Linked DNA regions of Oryzias latipes. The protein of the gene in region 1 purifies or fractionates together with the protein of each later gene. This does not show direct contact. Links are inferred from orthologs where the notes say so. Each region holds a gene or a part of one and is shown on either strand. Other genes may lie near its edges.

What was found.
Region 2: the proteins of strn3 (region 1) and cct3 purify together in Homo sapiens (affinity purification with mass spectrometry; 3 studies listed by BioGRID and IntAct, with this or other methods). This does not show direct contact. The link is inferred for Oryzias latipes from reciprocal best matches to the Homo sapiens genes STRN3 and CCT3.
Region 3: the proteins of strn3 (region 1) and fgfr1op2 purify together in Homo sapiens (affinity purification with mass spectrometry; 5 studies listed by BioGRID and IntAct, with this or other methods). This does not show direct contact. The link is inferred for Oryzias latipes from reciprocal best matches to the Homo sapiens genes STRN3 and FGFR1OP2.

Annotation. Positions count from the first base shown.
Region 1 is NC_019880.2:2,602,875-2,606,634, reverse strand, and holds the start of strn3 (striatin-3), read left to right. Parts: upstream 1-1,298; 5' UTR 1,299-1,559; coding exon 1,560-1,796; intron 1,797-3,709; coding exon 3,710-3,760. UniProt on the Homo sapiens protein: Calmodulin-binding scaffolding protein which is the center of the striatin-interacting phosphatase and kinase (STRIPAK) complexes.
Region 2 is NC_019869.2:4,734,841-4,737,292, forward strand, and holds part of cct3 (T-complex protein 1 subunit gamma), read left to right. Parts: intron 1-1,914; coding exon 1,915-2,101; intron 2,102-2,185; coding exon 2,186-2,335; intron 2,336-2,406; coding exon 2,407-2,452. UniProt on the Homo sapiens protein: Component of the chaperonin-containing T-complex (TRiC), a molecular chaperone complex that assists the folding of actin, tubulin and other proteins upon ATP hydrolysis.
Region 3 is NC_019881.2:3,917,727-3,920,966, reverse strand, and holds the end of fgfr1op2 (FGFR1 oncogene partner 2), read right to left. Parts: intron 841-3,240; coding exon 703-840; 3' UTR 534-702; downstream 1-533. UniProt on the Homo sapiens protein: May be involved in wound healing pathway.

The sequences.
Region 1 (3,760 bases):
TAAGCTGGATGCTTCGCCTAAAGCACTTACCTTTAGCTTGTAGCATAACAACAATAGCAGTACGTCCCGTTTCCCAGAGTGCTTTGCTGCCAATCACTAGCCAATCACCGTGTCCCTGTGACCAAGGTCTAACAACAAGACCAATGATTGGCCAGTGATTTGCAGCAAAGCACTCTGGGAAACGGGACGTACTGCTATTGTTGTTATGCTACAAGCTAAAGGTAAGTGCTTTAGGCGAAGCATCCAGCTTAATATGATATTTTTCAGATTTTCATCGAGAAAATAACAGATCGACCATTCTTGCTTTTATTTTTACCCCTATTGAATGCTCACAGAGACACGGAAGTAGCGGCAGGAAGCGGCTTTTGCAGCAAGATGACTGAGGGCGTACCAGATGTGAACGTGAAAACGATGGATGCTTCTGTGCTTTTATAAATAAAATAAATAAATCTGTTCTCTAAACATCCTCCGTGTCTTCAATGCAATGTAATGAGACACACACAGACAGAAATGTGAAGGTATCTGCTGTAAATCTATGACGTAAATTAATAACAGGAAATGATCGGCTAGTCAGTTAGCATGTAGCCTAATAGCCTTCGAATGTAAAAATACTGACTGCTAAAGTTAATAAAAGACAAGTCCTGAATATTATTATTCCTATTCGACCCTAAACTACAATATCAGCTGTCTGACAACAGACCAGCCAGTTGCCCAAATGCCGGCATACATGATCAGACAGAGAGCTCTGCGGCGGAGCTAGCCTAGCAGGAGCTATCGTTTGACAAAGCAGCCTAGTTATCATAAATCTTTTGATATTTTTCTTATATTCATTGAGACGGTAATAAAGTGATCATTTTTGTTTTTCATGTTCCTTTTTTGAACGAATATGGGTCACAGAGACACGGAAGTTACCGCTGAAAGCGGCTTTTGCCGGCGTACAGAGAGCATATCCGCGTGAATGACTTATGACGTGAATAATTATTGCGTTCGAACGGATTAATTATTGCGTTCGAACGACATAATTATTGCGTTCGCACAAGTTAATCATTTCGAGGGAACGGAATAGTATTTTGAGGGAACGCAATAGTATCTTGTGGGAACGGAAAAGTATCTTGTGGGAACGGAATAGTATTTCGTGCGAACGACATAATAACCTGTGGGAACAAGATATTAATCTGTGGGAACAAGATATATTTTTATATCTTAATGTCAGGACACGGGCTCCGTAATTTTATTTTTAGGTTTGGGGTCTAAATGTGTGTCTGGATTTCCCGGCATGCAGCGCGGCAGGATTCCCCCTCGCAGCCGTCACATCCAGGCGGACAGCAGTGATGGCGGCCGGTGAGACTCACACGTAAACACCGCCTCCAAGTCGCCGCTCTCCGCTAAGCGCTCAGGGGCAGCCGGCCTCTTCCACGGCGGCGGTGCCAGCGCGACAAGTACCCCGGCGGAGACGCGCGAGGCCTTCGGCGCCTTTTTTTTTCCTTCTTTAATATTTAAAATCGGTTAGCTAATCATTAAGTACAAACGGCGCCGCACGTTCTAACAAAACCCGAAATATGGACGAACACCCAGGCGGGGGAGGAGCGGCCTCCCCGCGGCCGCCGCCGCTGCAGCAGCACGGGAGCAACTCCGGACCTCCCATCGGAACGGTCATGGTGCCCCAGCAGACGGACGAGTTAGCCCGGCCACAGCAGCAGTACACTATCCCGGGAATTCTACACTACATCCAGCACGAGTGGGCCCGGTTCGAAATGGAGAGGGCGCACTGGGAGGTGGAGCGGGCCGAACTCCAGGTTAGTCCGTCGCTATGGGTTAGCTGCTTAGCATTAGCATGGTTAGCTTCTTTTTTTCCACAGTCACCGGGGATCTCAAATAACCTTTTATCGGTATACGTATTAACGTGAATTTAAGGTAGCGACCGGAGCCCCACTGACATGTCAAGGGGGACGAGTAACCGGCGTGGAGGTCTGTTATCCAGCCGGGAGTCTGAGTGCGTTGGCCGTTAGCTTTGGAGCCCGTGGCTCAACTGAGATATCGGGAGCCTGCAGCCGCCGTGGATACGTTAATCGTGCTGTTTTGACATTTGGACCAGATGTTGGTCAGATGTTGTTCGTGACAGTCAGACGACCCTAAACGAATGACCTTACCGATTCAAATCCGTGATTCTGGAGGTTTTTTTTAATCAACCTATACATAGAAAAGTGGCTTTTTCTGGTTCTCTGGTTGGCTGCGAAGCATCTTTCAGGTCACACCTCCCTCTGGAAGATCTCCTGCATTCTAGGTCTTTATTTGCTGTCAGTTTTTTTATTTATTTACATGAATTCCTGTACATTTTCCATTTGAAGTCTGTGGATTTCTCCTTGGAAACAGCCTGTAAACAAACATGACTTCCCGATGAGAGAAGCGGGATCTGGAGCTGCTCCATGTTCTTCATGGAGCTCCAGGTGTGTGTTGGCTTTGCCGTGTCCAGCAGCAGATCTGCTGCTTCTACATCTCAGTTTGTGTGACAGAAGCAGACCCTTTTGGGTTTTTAGAAGGAATATCTGGCATCATCTCAGCTGTGGAGATGTTTCTGTCGGGGGGGGGGGGGGGGGGACGCTTTAATAAAGGCTAAAAACAAAATGAGAGTGTTGGTAGTGATATCATTTCATCACCATTGAACAATAAGGTTACTCCTCAGAGCCATTGAACGTATTGTGAGTCTCCAGGATGAGGATGATGAAGAGGCCGGAGGATTCTGCTCTGATCCTGGTCTGTGATGTCACAACCCAAAGGATGGTCCAATCAGATATTTATAGAAGTAGGTGACCCTGAACCAACGTCAGGCTCTCACATCAAACTGCATGGATCTCCCTTTTGGAGATTTGATATTTAAATTCCCTTAAAATTTAACTCACGAAGCAGAAGGAGACACTGGTGGGTTTATAATAACGAGGAAAAAGGAGTTAGTTTTAACCAAAATATGCTTTTTTTTCCTGTTATGGCATTATGTCTGCGCTGTTATTGATGTACACAATATTTTACATAATAAATGTGTTTTTAAATCATTCTTTTTTTATTAGAAACTGTCGAATTCTTTCATTTTTTAGATTTTATTAAATTTTTCCTCCTCATGTTTTAAGTCTTTTTGTTCTTCTGCAATGTTGCCACTAGATGGCACTAGATGTTTACACAGCAACCTCAAAAAGCCAAAAATAAATGTAAAAAAAAAATCAATTGTATTGTATCTTCCAGCTTCCAGAGCCACGTTTTGCTCCTCTGGACATGAATTCAGAGCAAAACTCTGACAGTGTGACGTCGTCGGTCTTAAATAGCTGTACTGACACAACGACAGTGGCGTTTTAATGAGGTGACGTGGTTGAATAACTGCAGCCCACATGTGCTGTTTTGGTCAGGGGTGTTGAGAAGCTCCCGATGACTCACAGGAACTCTGTCTGGTTTGTCATCGCCATACATTTAGGCTGAGCTGCTCACCGAACCTCCTTTCCAGTGTCTGATTCATGTAGGTGTCACATGACCTCACTCAACTCAACAACCATGTAAACAATCTTTAAAGAGTGACTCCCATATCTTTCAGAAACCTATCATAAAGAGAAGATCCAGGAGGATTTGGTTTCTCTGGAAGTGACTCGGTTGTTTTCTTGACACAATATTTTTGTGTACATAAGAGTTTTGAAACATTTGTTTCTGTTCTGCGTCTTTCCAGGCCCGGATAGCGTTCCTGCAGGGGGAGAGGAAGGGCCAGGAGAACCTAAAG
Region 2 (2,452 bases), on another chromosome or scaffold:
GTTTGAAGTCAGACTATATTTTCAAGGAGCAAACTTTAAGACGTGGCGGATAAATCCAACAAAATTAACTTGTGGAACATTTAAAATATATATATTTTATAAATATAATGACAGACTGAAGCCAGTTTTTATGGAACTTTATTATTAGTGTCTTTGTAACGTTACAGAGGCGGAGTTGAGCTGGAAAAAGCCCCGCCTCCCCTCGTGAGAGCGCCGCGTCTTTACTGCCCATGGCAAGAATCCAAAACATGATCATCTTTTCAGTCTGTTTTTTTTATGATTCCATGTCAAAATGAATCAACTGGAGGCAGAATTAGGATTTTTTTTTTTTTTGTCGATCTGCTCCCCTTCAGTAAATCTGTCCTCGTTTTCTCAGCAGGTTTTTTTATTTGACCGTACAGTTGGTTCACCACAGGTGAAGACTGAAGACTGAAAGCCCTCTTCTCAGGGGGGCGATTTTCAGCAGGAAAACAGACACAACTCAACATTTCATAGACGGCGTGAAAACGGCAAAAGCAGAAGCAAAGATTGATTAAAAAAAATCAAAACGGAAGTTCCTCAGGAAAACATTTGTTTTTATCTGATGTTTTAATTATGTTGTCTTTCCATAAAATCATTTTTTAATATAACACCTATAGTTTTTCTTTCTAAAATATGGAATAATTTGGTTGGTAGAACTTTTTTTTTTTTCATTTATCAGCCAACTTGGCTGGTTAGTCAAAACTTAGATTTTGTTCTCTGGGTTTGTGACTTTAAACTTGGTGCATCAAACCAATCATTCATTCATCTTCTAAACCCGTTTTTGCCCCTTTCGGGGTCACGGGGCTGCTGGAGCCTATCCTGGCCACTCGTGGGTGAAGGCAGGGGACGTTATAGACAGGTCACCTGTCTGTCGCGGTGCCACAAATCAAACACCCACACAGACTCACATTCACACCTAGGTACAATTTAAAGTCACCAATTAACCTACGAAGAATGTTTTTGGGAGGAAGCCGGAGAAAACCCCCACATGCACGCACGGGGAGAACATGCGTCAAGCCACTCGCAGCAAAACAGTTTCAAGGCTGCTTCTACCAAATATGCTCTGCCGAGTGCGTTCTAGTATTTCTCTTTAGGAGGTGCTTAAGCTAGCGGTAGCTCCCAAAACATCTGCTGTATTGATTTCACAGTCAATGGAAACGCAGCCAGTGACAAATCTGTTTGATTTATGTAAAACAGAAGGAACATGAGCATTTTTGCTTTAAAAAAAAATTCTTGTATTTCTATGAACATATATAAAACAAATAAAATGAATAAATAAAAAACTAACATTATGATGGTAAATCTAATCAAAATCACCTTTGGTACAAAAACGTTTTACCTACTGCATGTAGGATGAAAACCCACCTTCCATCTCCTCTAGTCATCGTCCTGGTTCAACACAATGGTTTTCACAATACGAATGACTTTATTCACAAGTTCTAACAAAACACCAGTAAACAGCTAAAAACGATCGTTTTTTCTTTTCTTTTCCCATGATTCTCTAAAGTCACTGCCGCAAAACTCAATGCGGCTCATGAAACTACTGTAATATCAGTGCAAAGCTGCTTTTCTCAGAACCTGTTGGAATTGCATTAATTGGTTCAATTAGTTCAGAAAGGGTGTATCATATTCTGTCAATGGCAACAACTCCAGTCTTAAAGGGTTTAGTAATAGCATCCATAGTCTGGAGTGTTTTTGACTTTTTTTTTATTTATTTTTTTTTATAAATTGAATCCCTTATTCACATCAATTTCTTTCAAGACAGAACCATTTTTTTATTTTTGGTTGCAGGTGTAGTGGAGAAATGTATCCCGTTGAAATAATCTTTTTAATGAATATCACGGCTCAGGAGTAAATCTAAAGGCGTGTCTTAAAGAGTTGAACTTTCTGCAGCACTCCTGTGGACACATCAGATCGCTCCATGATGCTGAAGATCGTCAACTCTGCCATCAACACCAAGGCTCTATTCCGCTGGTCCGACCTGGCCTGCACCATCGCCCTGGACGCCGTCCGCACGGTGGAGCTGGAGGAGAATGGGCGCAAAGAAATCGACATCAAGAACTACGCCAAAGTAGAAAAGGTACTACCCTTGAATAACTTCATATCAAACAGGTGCGACTTTAAATGCGGTGAGTTACAAACGGCTTCCTCTGTGATCCTGCAGGTTCCGGGCGGGTTCATCGAGGACTCCTGTGTGCTGAAAGGCGTGATGATCAACAAGGACGTCACTCACCCCAAAATGAGACGGATGATCAAAAACCCCAGGATTGTGCTGCTGGACTGTTCTCTGGAGTACAAGAAAGGAGAGAGTCAGGTACAGTGCACTGGAGCTCGTGTCCTCAACGGCGCCGTGGTGCAGCGTTTGACCCGCCTGTTTGCCTCTAGACCGACATCGAGATCAGCAAGGAGGAGGACTTCTCCAGAATCCTGC
Region 3 (3,240 bases), on another chromosome or scaffold:
ACTGTCAGGTATCATTTACTTCATTAAAAGTAAAGATGACACGAGGAAGCGAGAGGCAACAGTTTGACTCTTTTCTCACAGCTTCTCTGTTCGGTGTGTGCCTCAGAGCAGGTTGATCTTCAGATGCTGTCTACAGTTTTCAGGTATGAAGCAGAGAGTCCACAATAATTCTATCTGCAGTGACTTCAGATCAAGCAACTCCCCCGCCGTGGTTTGCCACCAAACTTCCACATCACTCTCTTTTCTTCTTTTTGAACCATTCCAGGGGTCTGCTCAGACACAGCAATCCGGGCCCGTTTTGGTGACGCCTACGTGTTTGCTACCTGAATATTTCTGCATTTCAGCGTCTGTGAGCTGAATGCTGCCAGCAGCAGTGAAACAGCATGTTGGGTCACGCCTGCTGTGGTGGATTTCTCTTCCTGTTTTTGGAGCAGATGTGGGCGATAAACATCAATAACACAAGCACTGGAAAGAGAGAGGCAGTTCACCAGAATCAGAACACTGTGAGTCTGTGAGGACGTTCAAAACTCAATCCAAACCACCTGATAATCATTTATTTCATTTCAAGCAACACCTCTCTTCTTCCCGGGTTAGGAGGTACACAGGCACCACAGGCTCATACATGCTGTAACAAAGACATGACGCAATGCATTCTGGGCCGCTGGCTGCTTTGGCAGTAGTGTGGCGGGGTGGGAGCGGACACTAAGTCTTTCGTAGGCTGACGTCGGTGCTGCTCAGCAGCGGCGACAGCGACGTGTTCTCCGACGGCTCCTCCCTCTTCAGGATGAGGAAGGCCTCACGGCTGATCCCCAGCAGCTCTCGGAGGCCACAGTTCTCCATCTGGAACGCACAAACACAACCCACCTCTAAAGTCTCTGAACGGCTACGGCAGACAGAGAGGAGCAAGATTCACACATATGCTTTAAAAAACGTGTTCAATATCAACAGTTTGTCCGATCATGTATAAGCAATCAAATTAAGCCTCCCACAGTGAATTAGGCTCGACATCAACAATTCATTGTCTTTTCCCAAAGCTGACAGTGTTGGGTTCACTTTTAGAACCACTTTTTTATGTTCTATGTCAACGACACGGTCAAAATGTCTCAACAGCTAACTTGCACTTTTATGCTGATGACACGATTATTTCTTGTTGCGGATCATCTCTCTTTTGAGGTCATAAAAATTAGGGATGGGCGATATAATTTTTTTTACGTCCGATACCGATAACCCGTATTTCCCCTACAACTGTGTGGCTGATAGCCGATATTTGCCGATACCGATACTTAAGTGTCCACAGGTGTGGCTCTCAAACTGTGGAGCGCACCTCCATGGGGGGGGTGCGAGTCACTGGGTGGGACAAGGCTGGGAAGTGGGGAGGACGACTAATGTTTGGACATCGGAATTTTTTTCGCAGCGGAACACAAACAAACCGCGGTTCGGGACTGCATATCCGCGGGTGTCACGTCACTTACATCGAGCTGATCCTAACCGTGACATTTGAAGACGTAATTATGGTTGTCAACTGCGGTTTAACATCTTAAAATAACGCTAATGCCGCCTGGACGTTGACGCATTTAGCACATGCGACCGGTACAGATTGGAAACTGTGATTTGTTGAAGAATGGAGAAAAGCATGTATAATGGCTAATGCCTCCGCGCCCCCCAAGGGAGGCGTGTCCTACAGTTTGAGAACATACAAAATCAATGATCCTTTATTTAATTTATTAAGGATCATTCACTTGTACACGTCTTCCCTGCGAGGATTCTTTCTCAAATGTTTCTTAGACAACAGTTCTCAATACGACTGGCTGATAGATCCAGCTGCTGATGCGAGCTCTGCTGAGGAGGATCAGTCCATTGAAATCCCGTCAGACTCCACCCTGAAGATGAGGTTTACAGCACAGACACCCCCTGAATCCTGCTGGGTGTAGAGAGAGGGAGCATTCACTCAAAGGGCAAAAGGCTGGGGGCATTCTGCTTCCATTTTACGTTCCATTTTCTGCTGTTACCACTTTGAAAACAAAGCACAGAGCTAGGCTCAATAATGAGCAGGACTTGAGAGTTGCTGCAGTAACAAACCTGCAACCTTGTTTTGAAAAGATGTGTAGCACGAAGCAGGCACATTGCAGCCATTTACACAACTTTGTGTTTCTTTTTGCACATAGGTTCAAATGTTATTAAAAAACAGTCAGGAGATCATGGTAGATTTTGAATATCTGAAATGCAAATTATGCAAATATTGTGCAATACAGATACAGGAACCAATTTATCGCCCATCCCTAACAGGAACCCTGATGGAAACTTTTGAACGTGCAACTCCTGCGGCCTGGAAAATCTGACAAAAAAGTTGGAGACTAATTGAACTACCATTAAATGTCTTTAAGGCCAAACCAACAGAGAATTGCACAGATTACTGTGACCGTCTTGATCACAGTTTTCACTCATTTATAATTCAGTTTTATCTGTCATTTTTTACATTTTTTAAGCATTTTTTCTAGTGGTGTCAAATTATTATGTTAATTGCGATTAATAAATTACAAACTTTCTTGCCTTTTTTATTTGTCTCTATTTTTATCGGGTTAATCTTTTTTTTTTTTTTTTTTTTTTTTTTGCGTTGGATGGTTACTTCCTTAAAGTCTGGCCATGCCTGAAAATGTACACCTTGAAGAGCATTGTCCCGCTTATACCATGCTCACTCACAAAAACATAAAGATTAAGTATCAGAACTTCAATCATGTCATATTTTAAAGTTTAAATTGTTTTTAACGAAAAGAGGAACAAAGCATCATTTCAGAGGGAAAGCTCACCTCTAAATGTTGGATTTTGTTCAGATGAAGCTAAACTTTAAAGGTTGTCTTCTCTCTTTGTCTTCAAAATGATCAAATTCCTCAAACAGGTCAAAGGAAACTATCAAATCCCACCAGGGCTCCAGACTGCGACCAAAATTTGAGAGTGTGCGACTGAATTTTACATCCAGTCGCACATGTGCTACCAGTAAATTTGCCTCCCCCACCCTCCGTATTTTTTTATACATTAAACGTGGAAGGGGCACGTCAATGATCAATGAAATAATCAATGATACGCGAGCGCACACGCACGCAGGCAGACACACACACTCGTGCACATATTCATGAAACGCAAGCACACACTCGCGTGATGCCTGTCTGTGAGGCGGCGAATGCGTGTTAGAAGAATAGGGAAAGCCACTGTGAGTGGCTAAAATGCGTGTAGGGGAGGGGC